Linked DNA regions of Drosophila melanogaster. The protein of the gene in region 2 interacts with the protein of the main gene of each other region in a pairwise test. Each region holds a gene or a part of one and is shown on either strand. Other genes may lie near its edges. The genes, in order: Zfrp8 and RpS2.

Evidence for each region.
Region 1: the proteins of RpS2 (region 2) and Zfrp8 interact in a two-hybrid assay, tested with the Drosophila melanogaster proteins (2 studies listed by BioGRID).

What each region holds. Positions count from the first base shown.
Region 1 is NT_033778.4:24,132,217-24,136,048, reverse strand, and holds Zfrp8 (zinc finger protein RP-8), read right to left. Parts: upstream 2,061-3,832; 5' UTR 2,034-2,060; coding exon 1,765-2,033; intron 1,708-1,764; coding exon 1,623-1,707; intron 1,569-1,622; coding exon 879-1,568; 3' UTR 823-878; coding exon of another isoform or gene 682-822; 3' UTR 644-681; downstream 1-643. Other genes in the region: Naa35 (N(alpha)-acetyltransferase 35), read left to right, coding at 1-619, 682-822.
Region 2 is NT_033779.5:9,895,446-9,899,382, forward strand, and holds RpS2 (ribosomal protein S2), read right to left. Parts: upstream 2,108-3,937; 5' UTR 2,028-2,107; exon of another isoform or gene 1,767-2,027; intron 1,687-1,766; 5' UTR 1,686-1,686; coding exon 882-1,685; 3' UTR 820-881; downstream 1-819. Other genes in the region: Bka (bekka), read left to right, coding at 1-595; Muc30E (mucin 30E), read right to left, coding at 2,508-3,937. UniProt on the Drosophila melanogaster protein: Component of the ribosome, a large ribonucleoprotein complex responsible for the synthesis of proteins in the cell.

The DNA.
Region 1 (3,832 bases), on a different chromosome or scaffold from region 2:
TCTGAAGCACAGCACCCACTTCTCCACATGGGTGCTGTACAACTGTTTCCGTGCGATGCTGATCTTCCTGATGTCCGGCTTTGAGCTGGAACTATATGCTGTGCATGAGTTCCTCTACATCTACTGGTATCCATACGAGTTCCTCATTGGCTTCCTGGTCTCCGCGCTGACGCGCACGGAGAACATCCTCCTGGCCCAGGAGGAGTACGCCGAGCACCAAAGTAAGACCCAGTCGGGCGGCAGCGGAGCGGCTAAAAACCGCAAGGCGGCCAAGCCGAAAAAGAACAAAAAGACTCAAAGGCCGTACCGCGCCGAGATCGTCTTCTACCACGCGCTACTCAGCCTCTGCGGCGGAATGTATAAAGCAATGGGCGCCCTGACCAAAGACGGACGCGTGCGACTGCCGCTGTCCAAGTTCGACAACGAGGAGATCCGCTACAACCGACGCTTCCTGCCCTTCGCCACACTCACCAGTCCTCCGCCAGTTTCGTACGCAGAGTTCAAAAACGTCCGGGAGCACATGATGCGACATAGCGTCGAGGATCTATATACCTATGCGGCCAAGCACTTTGACCAGGCCCGCAATGTTCTCGAAAGCATTCAAAACCCAGATCAGGAGGTAAGTCAATGGTAGTTCTGAATTGGTTTTCCTGGATTAAAATGCGTTTCGTTTAATTTCAGATGCTGGACCTCCTGCAAATCGCACGGACTAACTTTGTGGTGATGAATGTGCTGGCTCGCGGTCACCAGAAGGAAGTCAAGCGGCAGCCAGAGTTCGACTTCTCCAAACACAGCTACTTCCCCATCATCAAGCTGAAGTAAATGTTCACGTGTTTCGTAATTGACAAGAATAAAATTTAAATGTACGCATTTTAATGTCAACTCTGATCCTCCGCCACAATGTCCTGCTTGATGAGAAGCTCCTCCACGTAGCCGTCGATGGGGCAGCTTTTGGCGCAAGTGTAGACGGCCAGGACGCCCCAGTCGAGGTTTTCGTCCTCCAGAAGAGTCAGCGCTTGCGGCATAATCTGAAATTCGAACTGACGCTCTCCTCCGCAAGCAATGCAATTGGGCAGCTTGTTAAGTTGGTCCTCCACCGTTTTGACGGTATTCGTGATCCAGAGGGGCTGGCCTCCACGTTTGTAGCGCACGATCTGATCGGGTTCGGCTGCTGTTTGCTTTTTGAACTGACGAAAGGTCTTGTCATCGGCGGCCGCCGAGTTTCCGAAGTACTTGTCCATCTCCGCCTCGGAAACATTGCTCAAGTCGCCCGTCTTCCCGCTGGACTCCAGCTCCTGGAACTCCGCCAAGCGAGCCTCATCGTCCTTGTCCTCCTCGCCAGACTCCACGGGGTTGCTGTCCATTACAATCTCAAATTCTGGGAAAACGATTTGTGTTAAGGGCTTCTCAGTGGCTACTTCTGGTGCTCCGCAGTTTGGCTTGTGTTGTGGCCAGTGGGCCCTTTGATGCTCTGGTGAGCAGTAGTGGATTGCCTTGCATTTGCTGCAGGCGTGAGGAGCATGGCAACCGCAGGCGGCGCATAGTTTCTTTAGGCAGGGAACGGCGGGCTAAGAAAACATATTATGATGAGTATGTTCTGAAAATATGGCTGCTGTTCCTACCAGGGGTTGACCCACGTCGCTCGGCTCCTCCTCCGAAAAGAACTTATTTTTTCGCGGCAACTGTGACCTGAGGACTGTGAAATTGCTGGAAAGATGGGTAAGATTAGGTTGCAAGTTGGTTTTCAGAGCTAGAAGGGATTACCTTGCATTTTGGGCCTCCTGGCAGTCGGAATTCCGGCACAGGAACACATAGATGGACCGATGAAAGTTGTACTCGTCTTCGAAGGGAGCGTATAGCTGAGCCAGGAAGGATTTGGGTGCCCTGCACTTGCTGCACTGCAGCTGCGACGTGGGCGGCAAGGCCTCCAGTTCCAGCCATGCGGGCTGGCCTCCCAGCTTGCTGGGAAAGTAGCGGTTGCTCAGCCAGGCGCCATTGTCGCTCTTTTCCGCAAATCCCAAGTCAATCTCCATTTCTTTCAATCTCCGAAACGAAACTCGTGTTCAGTGTGACCGCAGCGGGAGCGCCAGAAAATACCTCTACAAATTCCGAAATAACGTTGTATAATAACTGATATTTTCGGGGAATCACACTTTTTGGGTGTTATAATTTAAAATTTAAATTAATTACATTCGTTTAATTTGTTGATTTCGGCAGTTCAATAAAATAAAATATTCTTTTCTTCATTGAATATTTGCGATTACTCTTATAAACATAAGGGGGAAACATAAGATTTTAATTTAATGACATTAATCTGGAAGAATAACAAATCTCATTATCCTGAGCCCTTAAAAATGGCAAGCGGTTCAAAATTATAGAGCGAGGATTAATCAGATAAGGCCCCTCTTCTACGCCACTGATAATAAAGCTTGCATGCCATGGATTTGGTATTTTCCGCGAGTTCCTCCATGGCGATTTCCCAGATTTTGGCCACTTCAGTATGCGGTTATTTCTCACGGTTAAAAGTTCTGCTCTCCGAGTTGATTAAACTGGCTAAAGTGATATTTTATTTACTGTTGTGATAAACGCGTGTGAAAAACAAAGACTTTCCATTGCCCGCGGACACAAACGATCACGAACCGAAGAGTGAACCGCTCAGAAACGGGGGGAAAACCAGTTTTCCCACGATTTGATGTGATTGTGAAAGCGCAACGAGATTTGTCAACGCAAACAAGCAAGAAGAAGAGCCCGTGGATAGCGTAATATTTGTTAATAATAACGGCTGCAAAAACAACAACATTGCGGAAGCAGAATCTCCGACTTGTCGCGTTTCCGTCGCAGCAGCGCTAAAAATAAACCCACCCACGCACCGCCCCCTCTCGAATCGCCAACCACCCACTCCCGCCCACCATCCACCTACCACCACCTTCCGCCCACACCCACGCACGAATTTGGAGAGGTGAACTTGTGTTGACTTTTCCAGCGCGCGGACTTTTCCGAAGAAAAATGCAAAAATGAGAGCCGAGCCACCAGCGGACCACTGGGAATTTGCGTAAGTCCAAGGCGGATGCTTCCTGGTTTCGAATTACAGGGTATCACGTGCGCTGCTGCGAGCTAGTGAACAAGAAGGCACCAGATGTTTGATGGAGTGCACATAGAGAAAAGTTTGTGTAGGAACTATTAGGTGTCCGGTACAGGGTATCTCCGCTTCGATGCCCCTGGCAGTGGCTCGCTTTCTGGCTGCCAAAGAACGAGCCGGGTGAGCTTTTATTTGCTAAATTTAGTGCCGCATTGCTGAAAATAAGAATGGGAGCACCCTGCCATCGGTTGCCGGTAGGCAGACTCATATATATGTATATGTATATGCATAATCGCCCCTGACGGCCAGTGTGTGGTTCGGTGGATCTTTGTCCAGGGCACATGGCCCGAAACTGTTGCATGGCCCATCCTCGTCCTGGCCAATCGATGCCTTCGATGCCGACTTCGACTTGGAGTGCTGCCTGAATCAATAAACGCCTCAAATCCCTGCCATATTGCGTCCATTGTAATGTCAGCACATAAATTCTCTGCCCATCGAGGGGCATTTTCACTCGGCTGCAGGCATTCGGTAGTGGTATGTACGCTATGTGTCCTGGCCAGGCAATAAATATTGAAAATTCAATTAGCAGACGGACGGGCAGCCGAAATGCTATGAATTTATCACCACCTGAGTGCGAATGTGCCTGTGGTACTCATAGTAAATAAGTAACTTCATTGCCATTCGGCCCACTCCACTTGCTCCACCTGCATGCTGGCTATTGATTTTAATCCGCCCTGCAATCATCTTGCTTCA
Region 2 (3,937 bases):
ACACAAGAAAACGCAGAAGGTTAAGAAACAACGTAATGCACAGCTTAAACGCATCATAAAACCCACAGACGCGCGGCTTAAGGATCAGATTCGAGTGAAAAGAAAGAAGGCCGAGGATCCGCACCAGATCAAGGTGCACGAGGCCACCCAGCAGAGCTCCGCTCTGTTCTTCCAGTACAACACCCAGCTGGGACCGCCGTACCACATCGTTCTGGACACGAACTTCATTAACTTTAGCATTAAGAACAAACTGGATATTGTGCAAGGTATGATGGACTGTCTGTATGCCAAGTGCATACCCTATATCTCCGACTGCGTGCGTGCCGAGCTGGAGAAGCTGGGCAACAAGTACAAGCTGGCCCTGCGCATCATCTCCGATCCCAGATTCGAGCGACTGCCGTGCCTGCACAAGGGCACCTATGCGGACGATTGCCTCGTGGAGCGGGTGCGCCAGCACAAATGCTACATTGTGGCCACCAACGACAAGGACCTTAAGAATCGCATCCGGAAGATTCCCGGCGTGCCCATCATGTACGTGGCTGCGCATAAGTACGCGATTGAGCGTATGCCAGAAGCGTATGGAGTCAAGGCGTAGACCTTTTTTACTTCTTATCCTAAGTGTACATTTTTAAATATATTCTTACATGTAAGCAGCAAGCAATGCGTTTCGTATTTCCTGTTGTTTTTTAGTAGAATGCTTTTACTGCATTGTCTGGATCAACAAAGGAGACATAAGTTCTATTAAGTTACAAATAGTTTAACTACAACAGAATCTCCAAATCGACCAATGTCCACAACAATAACAAACACGAAGCGATTACATTTAAAAGTTTATGACTTTATTCAAAAACTCTGGATTGATTGGCCTCGAAAGTGTTCACTTAGGCATCGGCGTGCAGACGAGGAGTGGGCTTGGACAGGAAGTCCGAGTATGCCTGGTAAGGAGTGGAGCCCAGAGGCATCTCCTTCCACAGATCGGGGGTCAAGTACGCGTACGTCTTGGCGATGGCGGCATATGTAGCCTTGGCGAAGTTGCCGAGGGTTCCAGTGGAGCCACGGGCCGAGGTGTAGCAATCCTCAATACCGGCCATGGTCAGCAGCTTCTTGGGCACGGGGGCCGAGACAATGCCAGTACCACGGGGAGCGGGGATGAGGCGCACGGAGACGGAACCGCACTTGCCGGTGACCTTGCAGGGCACGGTGTGGGGCTTGCCGATCTTGTTGCCCCAGTAGCCACGGCGCACGGGCACCACGGAGAGCTTGGCCAGAATGATGGCACCACGGATGGCGGTGGCCACTTCCTTGCTGCACTTAACGCCCAGACCAATGTGGCCATTGTTGTCGCCGATGGCAACGAAGGCCTTGAAACGGGTACGCTGACCAGCACGGGTCTGCTTCTGGACGGGCATGATCTTCAGCACCTCATCCTTCAGCGAGGATCCCAGGAAGAAGTCGATGATCTCGAACTCTTTGATGGGAAGCGAGTACAGGTAGATCTCCTCCAAAGACTTGATCTTGCCCTCGCGCACCAGGCGTCCCAGCTTGGTCACTGGCACCCACTCCTTGGAGTCCTCCTTTCCACGTCCACGGGCCCAGCGTCCACGGCCACGACCGCGTCCACCACGACCACCACGAGAGCCAAATCCGCCACGGAATCCACTACGGGCTGGAGCTTCGTCCGCCATTCTGAAAGAGAGTTAAAAAAATAGGTTAGGTTCACGTTTTTTATTGTAAATCCTAAGATTTTCTGCTCCCAAGCCAGATACCTAATCTTTAGCCGCAAGTCTCATAGTGACTACCGCAAAATAAAGTAAAGGTGTTAACCCTACTACATATAGTCGCCATTTTGGAACACGTGGTGTCCCCCAAAGGGACAATTGATTTTTACGAAAGATACAACCCATCACTTGGATTTTTACACTTTTAGCTAGCTTTTAGCATATATCAAAACTCTGACTGTGGTATGGCGCATGCTGATTAAATTAAACACCATTTATTTCCCACATAATCCAACCGAAAATGCTTACTTGTAGGTCTATCAACTTTATTGGGGTGAAGACAAAAACGAAATGGCCGAGCCATCCGCTTAGAGCTGGGGCAATCACTTACGATAGTGCCGATACCATCGATAAGCATAATATCGTATGGGAAATCGATATATATACAAATATTTAAATGATGAATTTCAAATTATGTCAAGTTACTTACAAAATACTGTGTAAAAATTTCAGAATTTAAACATGTTTTTTTTTTTAATAGTTTTAAGAGTTTGACGAAATGAATTAGATATATGTGTTCAGGGCTTTTTACATTAAAGCGATTTTCTTTTTAAGCCCAATTTTTGGTCTTGTTTTTGAAGACGAAGATCCATTTTGCTCTTCTTAAAGATAAGTTGAAAAATATAATAATTAAATTTATAAATTATTTATAATTGTATATTATATAAATATATATTTAATGGCACATTTATAATATGTAAGTTCATACAATTTTAATGGTTTTAGTGTTTAACGACCCCAAAAGAAGTTTGGGAAAGGATTCGGCAATTGTGGTAGTGGTGGCAAATTTGGAAGGGAAATTTCTGGTAAGGATATTGCTGTTAAATTTACTTCCGGCAAAGGTGGCAAAGGTGGTAGGGGGGGCAGCGGAGGCAACGCTGTTGGTAAAGGAGGCAAAGGTAGAGGGATTTCAGGAAGTGGCAGTGGGGGCCAGGGCAGGGGCAACGGGAGAGGAGGAAGATCAGGAAGTGGAAGAATTGATGGACCGAGATCAGCGGGTTTGTGATAATGAATATGGTGATGATGGTGGTGAACATGTTGCTCTTCGGTGGTGGTTGATTCCGTGGTCGTATTGCTCTGATTCGATGAATTGGTAGTAGTTTCTACGGATGTTGGTTCCTGATTTGTTGTACTCATTTCAGCTGTCGTCCTTTTTGTTGTTTGATCTGCTGTTGTCTTAACCGATGTGCTTGTCTCCCGAGTGGTTGGCTCTCTGGTTGTCTTTGTGGTAGATGTCTTGCGAGTAGTTGGTTCTTCGGTAGGCTTTAAAGTAGTTGATTTCTTAGTTGTGGGTTCATGAGTCGTCTTCTTAGTTGTTGTCTTCTTGGTGGTTGGTTCTTCTGTTGTCTTATGGGCTGTTGTCTTACGAGTGGTTGGCTCCCGAGTTGTCCTTTCAGTTGTTACCCTCTTTGTAGTTGGCTCTCTAGTAGCCTTTGTGGTTGACGTTTTGCGAGTAGTTGGTTCTTCGGTAGGCTTTAAAGTAGTTGATTTCTTAGTTGTGGGTTCATGAGTCGTCTTCTTAGTTGTTGTCTTCTTGGTGGTTGGTTCTTCTGTTGTCTTATGGGTTGTTGTCTTACGAGTGGTTGGCTCCCGAGTTGTCCTTTCAGTTGTTACCCTCTTGGTAGTTGGCTCTCTAGTAGTCTTTGTGGTTGACGTTTTGCGAGTAGTTGGTTCTTCGGTAGGCTTTAAAGTAGTTGATTTCTTAGTTGTGGGTTCATGAGTCGTCTTCTTAGTTGTTGTCTTCTTGGTGGTTGGTTCTTCTGTTGTCTTATGGGTTGTTGTCTTGCGAGTGGTTGGCTCCCGAGTTGTCCTTTCAGTTGTTACCCTCTTTGTAGTTGGCTCTCTAGTAGTCTTTGTGGTTGACGTTTTGCGAGTAGTTGGTTCTTCGGTAGGCTTTAAAGTAGTTGATTTCTTAGTTGTGGGTTCATGAGTCGTCTTCTTAGTTGTTGTCTTCTTGGTGGTTGGTTCTTCTGTTGTCTTATGGGTTGTTGTCTTACGAGTGGTTGGCTCCCGAGTTGTCCTTTCAGTTGTTACCCTCTTGGTTGTTGGCTCTCTAGTAGTCTTTGTGGTTAACGTTTTGCGAGTAGTTGGTTCTTCGGTAGGCTTTAAAGTAGTTGATTTCTTAGTTGTGGGTTCATGAGTCGTCTTCTTAGTTGTTG